Arabidopsis thaliana: one gene and its partners. The protein of the gene in region 1 interacts with the protein of each later gene in a pairwise test. Each region holds a gene or a part of one and is shown on either strand. Other genes may lie near its edges. The genes, in order: AGL103, AGL56 and AGL55.

Region 1 (3,718 bases):
CCCGTTGATTATTTCTTAAATAAGCCGAACACAACACTTTATTGTCCAGTTGGATCTTTTGTACTTTTTTCTATTTTTCATTTCTTTGACCTTTTTCCCTTTTTAATGCGAGGACATATGATTGGAGAGAGCTGCTAAAGTATTTTTTTAGCTTAAGTAATTTCTGATTGTGTTTTACTTTACCCGTCTTAAAACTTAAAAGCTTGCCTAGGGTTTTTTTATTCATCAAACATTAATCGTATAATCAAATTCTCGGCAATAAGTATAACAAACCAAAAAAAATCTCAGAATAACAAAAGAGGAAGTATAGGAAAAGTGTCACTAACATGGGAGACATTACTAGTCTTAATTCTCAGCAATAAATATAACAAACAAAAGAATCTCAGGATAACAAAAAAAAGAAGTAGTATAAGAAAAGAGTCACTAGCATGGGAGACATTATTAGTCTTTTAGTCACATTACACTAATAAATAAAAGTAGACATAATCGAAAACTTGGAGATCGATATACTGTCTCAAACTGATAATTGCACTAACCAAAAGTTATAAATATATATGCTTCTTAGTTATATAACTAGGAGATATTAAAAACCAAAAATTATGAAGCTATAAGAGAGATTGTGATAGATCTTAGAGAGACCTAGTATTGTTTCCGTTTTGATCCAAATTGAAAACCCGGTCCTGATGTTGGCTGTTGTACGTTGGAAATTGAACATACTGATGCGAAAGACCATTAGAGTTAATGCTGTTGTTGTTACTGTAGTCATGCATGTTCATGCTCTGCAACCCGTTAGTTCCAGCTCCTTGCATCCCAAGTAACCCTGCACAGTCTTGAACATTGAAGTTGTTGCGGCTGGACATGTTAGGGTTCTCAAACTCATTGTTTCCGTCTTCGTGTACCCCAAGTAAGCTAGAGTAACTTTCCGCTCTGGAATTCTGGTCAAACTGTTTTGAGAAATCATTAACGCTGTTGATGTTGTTATAGGTTAACATGTTCATGTTCTGAAGCCCATTGATCCCAGTTCCTTGTACCCCGAGAGACCCCGAGTAATTTCCCGCATCCGAATTCGGGTAAATCATCAGTTCAGGCGGAATCGGAGCTAGAGATTGCGTTTGGTTTGAAGCCAATGCTGAGACTGGGATTTGTGAGAAAGCACCGTTTCCATGGTTCCACAGATACATGGAAACCTGGTTTGAGTGTTGTTGAAGTTGATTCATCGTATTAGCCATCATCAGTTCTTGATTAGCCATGTTCGTGTACTGTACCCTCCTCTGCCCCTGAGCTTCAACAACAGCGCAAGTCCTATGTTGGATCCTGGTTAGGTTTCGTTCCAAGGACTGAACCAGTCCCATGAGTTGCTCCACAGAGTAATTGTCAAACCTAGGGTCCCAAACTGGATACTTGACTTTGGGTACACGTCTCACTTTAATCTTCTTCTTCTCCTCCTTCTCGGGATCATCCTTGTTCATCTTCTCGAGGAACTCGTGAAGATCAACGCTTCCTTTGCGACGCTTCGTCTCGCTTAATTCACCGTACCTTCGAGCTATGGCTTTGACCTTCTCTCTCTCTTCAGGCCATGTCTTAAGCTCTCCGTTTGATCCGTAACAGATGACGCAGACATCGATGTCACAGAGAATTGAAAGCTCTTTAGCTTTCTTAAAGACAGTCTGTTGTCTTTTGATCAAACTTGTGGCCCTCGAAGAAGAAAAAGCAGAATTAGGTTTCTTGAAAAAGGTTTTGTTCTTCTTCGATGTTGAAAACGAAAGAGAAGAGGACGAAGAAGAAGCCATGGTTGTGTATATTCTCTGTGAATTGAATGAAGAGGTGGTGATCATTGTTTGCGAATATATAAAACCCTTAGTTCGAGAATTTCTATTTTTGGTCTCGCTCGGTAATTAATGACGAATCAATAATGAAAGCGGTGAAGATTTCATTGCCTTTTTTAATATACTTTTTTCTCATAGAATCAATTTATATGTTTAACGAAGGTGTAGTTTTACTAATAAGGAAAACTTTGGTTTTTGGTTGAATATTATGGAAATCTTTAGTAGAGATTCTTTTCACATGTACATACATACACAAATACATACACTGATATACACACACATAGATTTATATACTATACGTAATGTATACATACTACACTGCGATTCGACTAAAAATTTGGATTTTTCGAAAGTTTAATTATACTACATATGTTTAGTTACATCAATTAATTTGTGTTGTTTGGCTATATGTAAGTCTATAATCTATCGTTTCTGTATAAACTATTTGAATGTTACTAACATTTTTGAGTTTGTGTTTGTATACAAAAATGGCATATAAATACGACATATGTTTTATTTTGTGGTTAAACTGCAAAAAAATGTTTTATTCAATTTGAACAAACTATAGGAAAAAGATATAGTTACACAACTGATATTCACCTAATCTCGCAGCAACAATTCAAACCAAAAAACTCATGAAATCCATTAATAAGTATGTATAATTATTGCGTCACAAGTTATGGCCGGGAAGTGATGATCTCCGGTCTACGGTAATGGCTGGTGGGGTGGGAACAAAAGACTCGTAGTCAGTCCAATTTGATTCGCCCCAATGCCGCAGCATACTTTTCCAATTACATAATTTGTCGATGCAAATTTTGAATCTCGGGTCCTTTACTCTTATTTTCCAATGACCGTCGGCATAATTTGCGGCCTCTGCTTGCCGGCGATCATATTCCAGCTGTGCCTTTTGCTTGGATCGCAAGTAACAGAATTGGTGAAGTTCCTGCAAAATATCATATATGGTAATTACTAACCGTCACAATTTTAGAATAATTTGGGAAAACGTCTAACTATTTTTATATTTCTGCCAACCAATGTTTTTTTAAACTAATCATAAAGAAAGAAAATTTGAAATGATTTTTTTATAAGGTGTATAAAACATAGACATTAAAACTTGATGCCTACTGCGTAGGGGGCTAATTCTGCATTTACTAACCCACCAAGATTTTCGTATATTCAAATTTCATATGGTTATTCTAAACTTGGGTAGTAAGTAATTTTTAGTTTATTTATTTTTTCAAGTTTTGGAAATTTTTGAGAAAGAAATAATGCTATGCAGTTAGTCTCTCAACGCATGACTAAACGCCTAATAATATTTTGAATATTGATCACAATATGAGATTGAAAATATTATGTGATTTTTGAGTTCTATTAAGGTTTTTAGGAGAGAGTGAATCACCTGTGGCATGGCGTCGTGGACCATCCACCATTTTCGATGAGCGATATCGGTAGCAAACTCAACGAATATGTCGGAGTTGAAGTTACAGTCGTAGTCACGGTAACATAACCACGGCTTCATCCCAAGGTAATGAAGAACATAAAGAACAGGAGGCTCTGCTCCAAAAAGCTCTGTTTTCTTGCGTTTCGCGTCATCTTCATCGCCAATCCAAAAATGCTTCAAGAAATTCATATGTTTTGGAATCCGGTGCCACCATGTGAATACCTCGTTTAAGTAACCTTGATCTCCACCGTTATAAGACTCAATCTCGTTTATATGTTCCATCAGAAGCTGAAACGTACAGTTGCAAGGCTCGATCACCATAACTCCTGAATTAAACAGAGTTCCATTGTTTCCTGTAGCTGAGATCTCAGGCATCGAGAACAAGAAATCGATGTTTCTCAAGATTAAGAGATCCGCGTCGATGAAAATGATTTTGTCGTAATCAGTCAGC
Region 2 (2,788 bases), on another chromosome or scaffold:
GTTGGAGGAGATGGAGAGGATGGAGGCGGCGGAGCTGAAAGAGCTTGAGGAGAAAGCGGAGACTGCTCGGAGAACGGGGAATTTAATGGAGAAAGCGGCGACAGTTGCCGCGAAACGACATATTGCGGCGGCGATGGGATCAGCCGCCGCGTCTATGAGATCAGCTTGGAAGACTGCAGCTGGAAATAAGGTTCATCCATCTTGATCGATGATGATGATGATGAATATGATAAGATGACGATGATTGTCAAAGTATTGGTCCCCATGTTATAGGATTAGTAGGTCAAGAACATTTTAATGAATAATTATTTCCTTTGATAAACATATGGGTTACTACTTACTATTGCCGAAGAATTATGAATTATAGGTAGTTTCTAGTTTATGTATCTGTAATTTGTAATCAATATATATTTATGGGATTATAGGAAGTCGTAAAATGTGGTACTAGTTTATTGGTTTGATGGTAGAACAGAAAAAAAAAAAAAAAAATTGGTGGGACACCTAAAAGTACGAAAAAATTACATAAAAAATATGCGTCATTCGGTTTTAGAAAGAAAGATATGTATGTGATGTTGTTATTCTATTATGCGGAAGCATTAAAGTTTGGGTGATTTAGTGACAAATTTGTCATAGAATCGACACATAGATCAGAATTGAGACAACGAACGAAAATCAACTATAAACCACCGTTTAAGTGCCCTTTCGGTTTCGACAAAAAAATGTGCCATTTCGGCTGATCTCTCGAAGCTTTATCTCTCCAAAATGTTTACATATGGCGCTTATGGAAAAGCAGAAACACGCTTATGTTCCATCAAACCAATAAACTAGTACCACATTTTACGACTTCCTTATAATCCCAAATATACTGTATATTGATTACAGTATACAAATTATTTTTACTCTAAAATGGTGCGTATCACAATACTCACCAAAAGAAAAGATCATTCATTAACACCAAATGATTAACAAATTAACAACAATGCCTAAAATGTCTCCACCGCGAACTATTTATATAATCTCCGACCAAGACTGCGTTGGCAAACTATCCGTCTTCGACGCTCCTCTGTTCATCAGATACCATATTTCTTGGCCCGCAAGAAATTATCTCTAGGGTTAGGGTTTTCGCAGATGGGTCATGGAATAAATGCGGTAATGCAAGAGGTTTTGGATTTGGGTTTACAATACTGTAAAAAAAATTATCTTCGCTCCAAAAAGTGAACCAAATAAAATTAGATTTGTTTGTTTTACTTTTTTCCTCCACGGGAAAGTAAATATATTAGTTCATTAAGAACACCACAAAAGAAAGGAAAAGAGTTCTCTACCTTTGTGTATTTTTTTTTCTAATTTTTTGCTAAGAGATTTTAGGAAAATAGTTAAAGAAAGGTAATATTAAAAAACATCTCAGATTATGGAAATTCTCCGAATATGGAATAAGACCAATAATGGGGAACATGCAATTAATTATGAAGAATAAATAAAATGTACTATAAAGAGAAGAATCTCTGTCTGTCTGTCTGTGTAATTGGGGTTTCTTTCTTGCAAGTGTTTCAACATGGGAGGCAAAAAAACAAAGATTGAGATTAAGAAGATCATAAACAAACCCGCAAAAACGGTTGCTTTCACAAAACGCAGGGAAGGTCTCTTCCGCAAAGCTTCACAGCTTTGTCTCCTCTCTCCAGCCACTCAAATCGCAATCTTAGCGGCTCCTATGACTTCCAAATCTCACGCTTCTTTCTACTCTTTCGGTCATTCCTCTGTCGATAACGTTGTCTCCTCTCTGCTTTATGACCATCCTCCTCTTACGGCAAACCAAGACAACAGGTCAGGGTTAGGGTTTTGGTGGGAAGACAAACGTTTTGACGTATCGGAGAACGTTGAGGAGTTAAAAGAGGCGGTCGATGCTGTTTCGAGGATGTTGAACAATGTGAGATGCCGATTAAATGATGCCGTGAAGAGTACTCAAAGAGATGGAGGTTTAGAGATTCTTCATCATCAGGAGGAGGAAGTTCTTCAGACTCGCAACGACGAGACAAAGACGAATCAAACTCACGAATTTGAAGGCGGCGAAACTTCTGGTTCTGCAAGTTGGTTAGAGAACGAGGATGATATTCTTCACTTTGATGATGATTTTTATACTGGTATTGATCCTTTGTTTTGATCAACTTATTTTATCATCTAATCTATTACTGATGCACTTGTTTGGATTTTAAGAGTGGCACAAATCTACTCAATAATAATAATATACGAAAACTTTTTCAAGTATATAAGATCCTAAATGTTAGTGTACATAAGGGCGAAAGAAGATTACGAGCCAAATCCCTCAGAGTCTTTTTATGGCTTATGAACAGGAAAGAATATTATCGGTCGAGTCAAATCATGGAACCTTTCATCTTTAGGAAGATCAATGGTCCGTTGATATCTCTCTCTCTCTATGCTTTTTCTGGGAATACCTTAAGGAGGAAATCGATGAATCGTTTAGAGTAAAGTGTAGGCTCGATGGCTGAAATTGTCATTGGATCATATTTCATAGATTTGCAAGTATGTTCCACTTTCTTCTTCATGTTGTACTCTTGGAGGATGTCAATGATGCCCATGTATACAACCACATCATATACTTCAAAGAGCTCGACCGTTCCTGATTCCTCGTTGTCTTGGCCGAGTTTGTGGTGGGCTTGAGCTGGCATGTTCACTCCTAACTGTACCCGGAGCCTGAATAAGATGATTCCAAAAGGTATGGTTGGGGACAATTTAATGAACAGGAAATAAGGTTATTGGACTCTGAGTGATC
Region 3 (2,943 bases), on another chromosome or scaffold:
TCAATTTTGTTTCATTAGGAGGAATTTATGTTTCTTTCATTTTCTTTTTGGTATGAAATCTCTAGAGATAATTCTTTTCGTTTGTTCTGTTTGGTATGAAATCTCTAGAGATAAGAATAGTTACATGTCTTAGAATGAAACATTCCCTGCGATCTAATGGATAAGTTTATGGATAGGTTTAGTTACGATTATAGCAGCAATAATATATGGGAAAACTAGCTTCATGGACACAGAGACCAGCACTCATCTTCAAAAGAACACAACATGAGTTTCTCAAATCCTCTTTCTCTATCTCCAGTGGAATTACACACTACTGTACCAAGCCACCACGAGGCCGAGACAGAGCCAACAGAGTTCGAGAAGAATCAGAAACGGTACAAAGACCTAATCGCCACCTTTCTTCATACCAAAGGCTGGACAACTGACTTGTTTGCTAATAAAATCGACAATGAACCTTTCTTTTGTTATTTAATTAAATGTATTTCAGTCTCAATCAAACTGAACAAAATTTTGGTTTTATATTAGTAGCTTTTTTTTTTCCCAAACCAAAACACCGAAAAAATCCAAAAAATAATAATGCACAGCTAGATTAGATAATAGCCTAAATAAACAAGACATGATGATTAAGTAAGTTGGTTAAATCAAAGGATCAATGTTGAAATCAGTAATAACGATCATCAATGTGTAGATTATCCACTACGTTCTTTAACAAACTTGCAGAAGCGGAAGTTTCACCTTCGAGTTTGGTAATTTGATTTGTGTCTTTGTAGCCAAGCTGAAGAACCTCCTCATCCTCCTGATGAATCACTAAACTTCCATCTCTTTGATTGCTCTTCACGGCATCATCTAATCGTAGCCTCACATTGTTCAACATCCTCGAAACCGCATCGACTGCCTCTTTCAACTCGTCGACGTTCTCCAATCTGTCAAAGGCTTGGTCTTCCCACCAAAACCCTAACCCTGATCTGTTATCTTGGTTTGTGGGAAGAGATGGATGCTGATTGTGAAGGAGAGAGGAGACAACGTGATCGACAGAGGAATGACCGAAAGAGTAGAAAGAAGCATGGGAGTGGGAAGAAAGAGGAGTTGCTAAGATTGCGATTTGAGTCCCCGGAGAGAGGAGACAGAGCTCTGAAGCTTTGTGGAAGAGTCCGCTTTTGCGTTTTGTGAAAGCAACTGCTCTCACGTTCTTATCTTCGATTCTCTTCATCTCTATCTTTCTTTTTGTGCCTCCCATATTGAAACTTCAAAGGAAGAAAGCCAAATTACAGACAGAGATTGTTTGAAACTTGTAGAAAGCTAATTACACAGAAAGACAGAGATTGTTTTCATCGTCCTCTCTTTATACTAGTGTACTCTCTTCCCATATCTCAACTTTTTACATTATTGATTCATTCTCTATTAAGAAAATTTCCATAATGGGTTGTTTCCTTTTGTTTTTTTTTGGCAAAGGGGTTGTTTCCTAAGATTACCTTTTTTTGGAACTATTTTGGTAAAATACATAAGAGTACTACTCTTTTCTACTTGTTTTTCCTTTTTTTATGTTCACATTCTCTCATATGCCAAAACCCTAACCTTAGAGACGGTTTCTTGCGCGACAAGAGACACTCTATATCGTCTCTTTCCTCTGTTTGTCGAGTGGCTAAGATGCGATTATGGACAGAGGAGTCGTTGAAACTAATATTTGGTAGAGGTTATTAAATAGTTCGCAGTGGAGACATTTAGGGGTCGTGAATTGAGATTATAAGATAACCCATTGAAACTAGGGTTTTGCAATTACACAAATTTAAATATGAGGAAAATTTGACACGTGATACCGAAAGGATGATTTGAATTGCATGAGTATATAAATAGTTGCAGAATATGACATATTAACAATAGTTCATGGGACATGGTGGATTAGGTGTAAAGGTTTATTTAACCTAACCCTAAATCACACCCCGGTATGGGCAAATATGTTGCTTGACAGATGGTATTGAATTACTATTTTTGCAAATGTAAATGATTTCTATAGCTTCTTAATTTTTTAGTTTGTTTGGGTCCTTTAAAGTTTATGAACGTGTTATTTTTTGTTCTTCACTACCTTTTTGTGAGACTGACTCGCACTCCAATCGGGATCATCATCTTCTGCTACATTCGGATTAACGTTCTCGTCTCTTCTCCTCTTCCCTGAACCGGGACGGGTTTTGTAGTGGTCGTTGATGGTTGAATCTATGGTTTCCAATAACCGATCTCCGTATTTGCTCACCTTGGCTCTGTTTAGAGTTTAAAACACCAAAATCCCCCGAGTTTTCTTCATACCTTTGGTTATACAAAGAGAGAGAGTAGCGTTCAAAAAGCTTCAAGATACTTACTTTCCTAGACCATTGATATCAAGGAGTTCCTCTTTGGTTCTGGGAAGTCGTTTACTTATCTCTTTAAGCGTCGCATTGCTATAAACACACAAGGATTTTTCTATTACTTATGATCTGAGAAAGAAACTGAAAATATCATTAAATGGATCGTCAACTTACCCGAATATATGATATGCCATGACTAAATCTGGCGATTCTTTGACAATATCAGTCCGAAGATTTTTCAAGGCTGTCAACAAAATGCCGGAGAGATTCTAGACCGACATTGAGAAAAAATAAGCAGCCTTTAGCAATTTAGAGTGGTGGTTTTTAATCTTTGAGCAATAGATAGAAACAAGGATACAAGAAGATATACCGAATCTTGTGGGGCAGCTTTTGCCATTGGAAGGGTAGTTTGCTTAAGTGGAACTTTTGCTGGATTTGCTGTGGATTTGCTCTGCTTTGACACTTTTATGGTCGAAGGAAATCTGTAAGAGATATGCAAGTCTTAGCTAAAACTAACCTTTTTCAAAACGAATAAACATATAACCAACTCTATTAGCTCGCTCAAGAATATAGAACTACTGAAGAGCAGCAATAACATTGCAGT

The links.
Region 2: the proteins of AGL103 (region 1) and AGL56 interact in a two-hybrid assay, tested with the Arabidopsis thaliana proteins (one large-scale study listed by BioGRID).
Region 3: the proteins of AGL103 (region 1) and AGL55 interact in a two-hybrid assay, tested with the Arabidopsis thaliana proteins (one large-scale study listed by BioGRID).

The regions. Positions count from the first base shown.
Region 1 is NC_003074.8:6,416,715-6,420,432, forward strand, and holds AGL103 (AGAMOUS-like 103), read right to left. Parts: upstream 1,791-3,718; coding exon 630-1,790; downstream 1-629. Other genes in the region: PGSIP1 (plant glycogenin-like starch initiation protein 1), read right to left, coding at 2,497-2,769, 3,226-3,718. UniProt on the Arabidopsis thaliana protein: Probable transcription factor that may function in the maintenance of the proper function of the central cell in pollen tube attraction.
Region 2 is NC_003070.9:22,410,023-22,412,810, forward strand, and holds AGL56 (AGAMOUS-like-56), read left to right. Parts: upstream 1-1,552; coding exon 1,553-2,158; downstream 2,159-2,788. Other genes in the region: MEE9 (maternal effect embryo arrest 9), read left to right, coding at 1-205; AT1G60890 (Phosphatidylinositol-4-phosphate 5-kinase family protein), read right to left, coding at 2,430-2,709.
Region 3 is NC_003070.9:22,429,031-22,431,973, forward strand, and holds AGL55 (AGAMOUS-like 55), read right to left. Parts: upstream 1,332-2,943; 5' UTR 1,238-1,331; coding exon 662-1,237; downstream 1-661.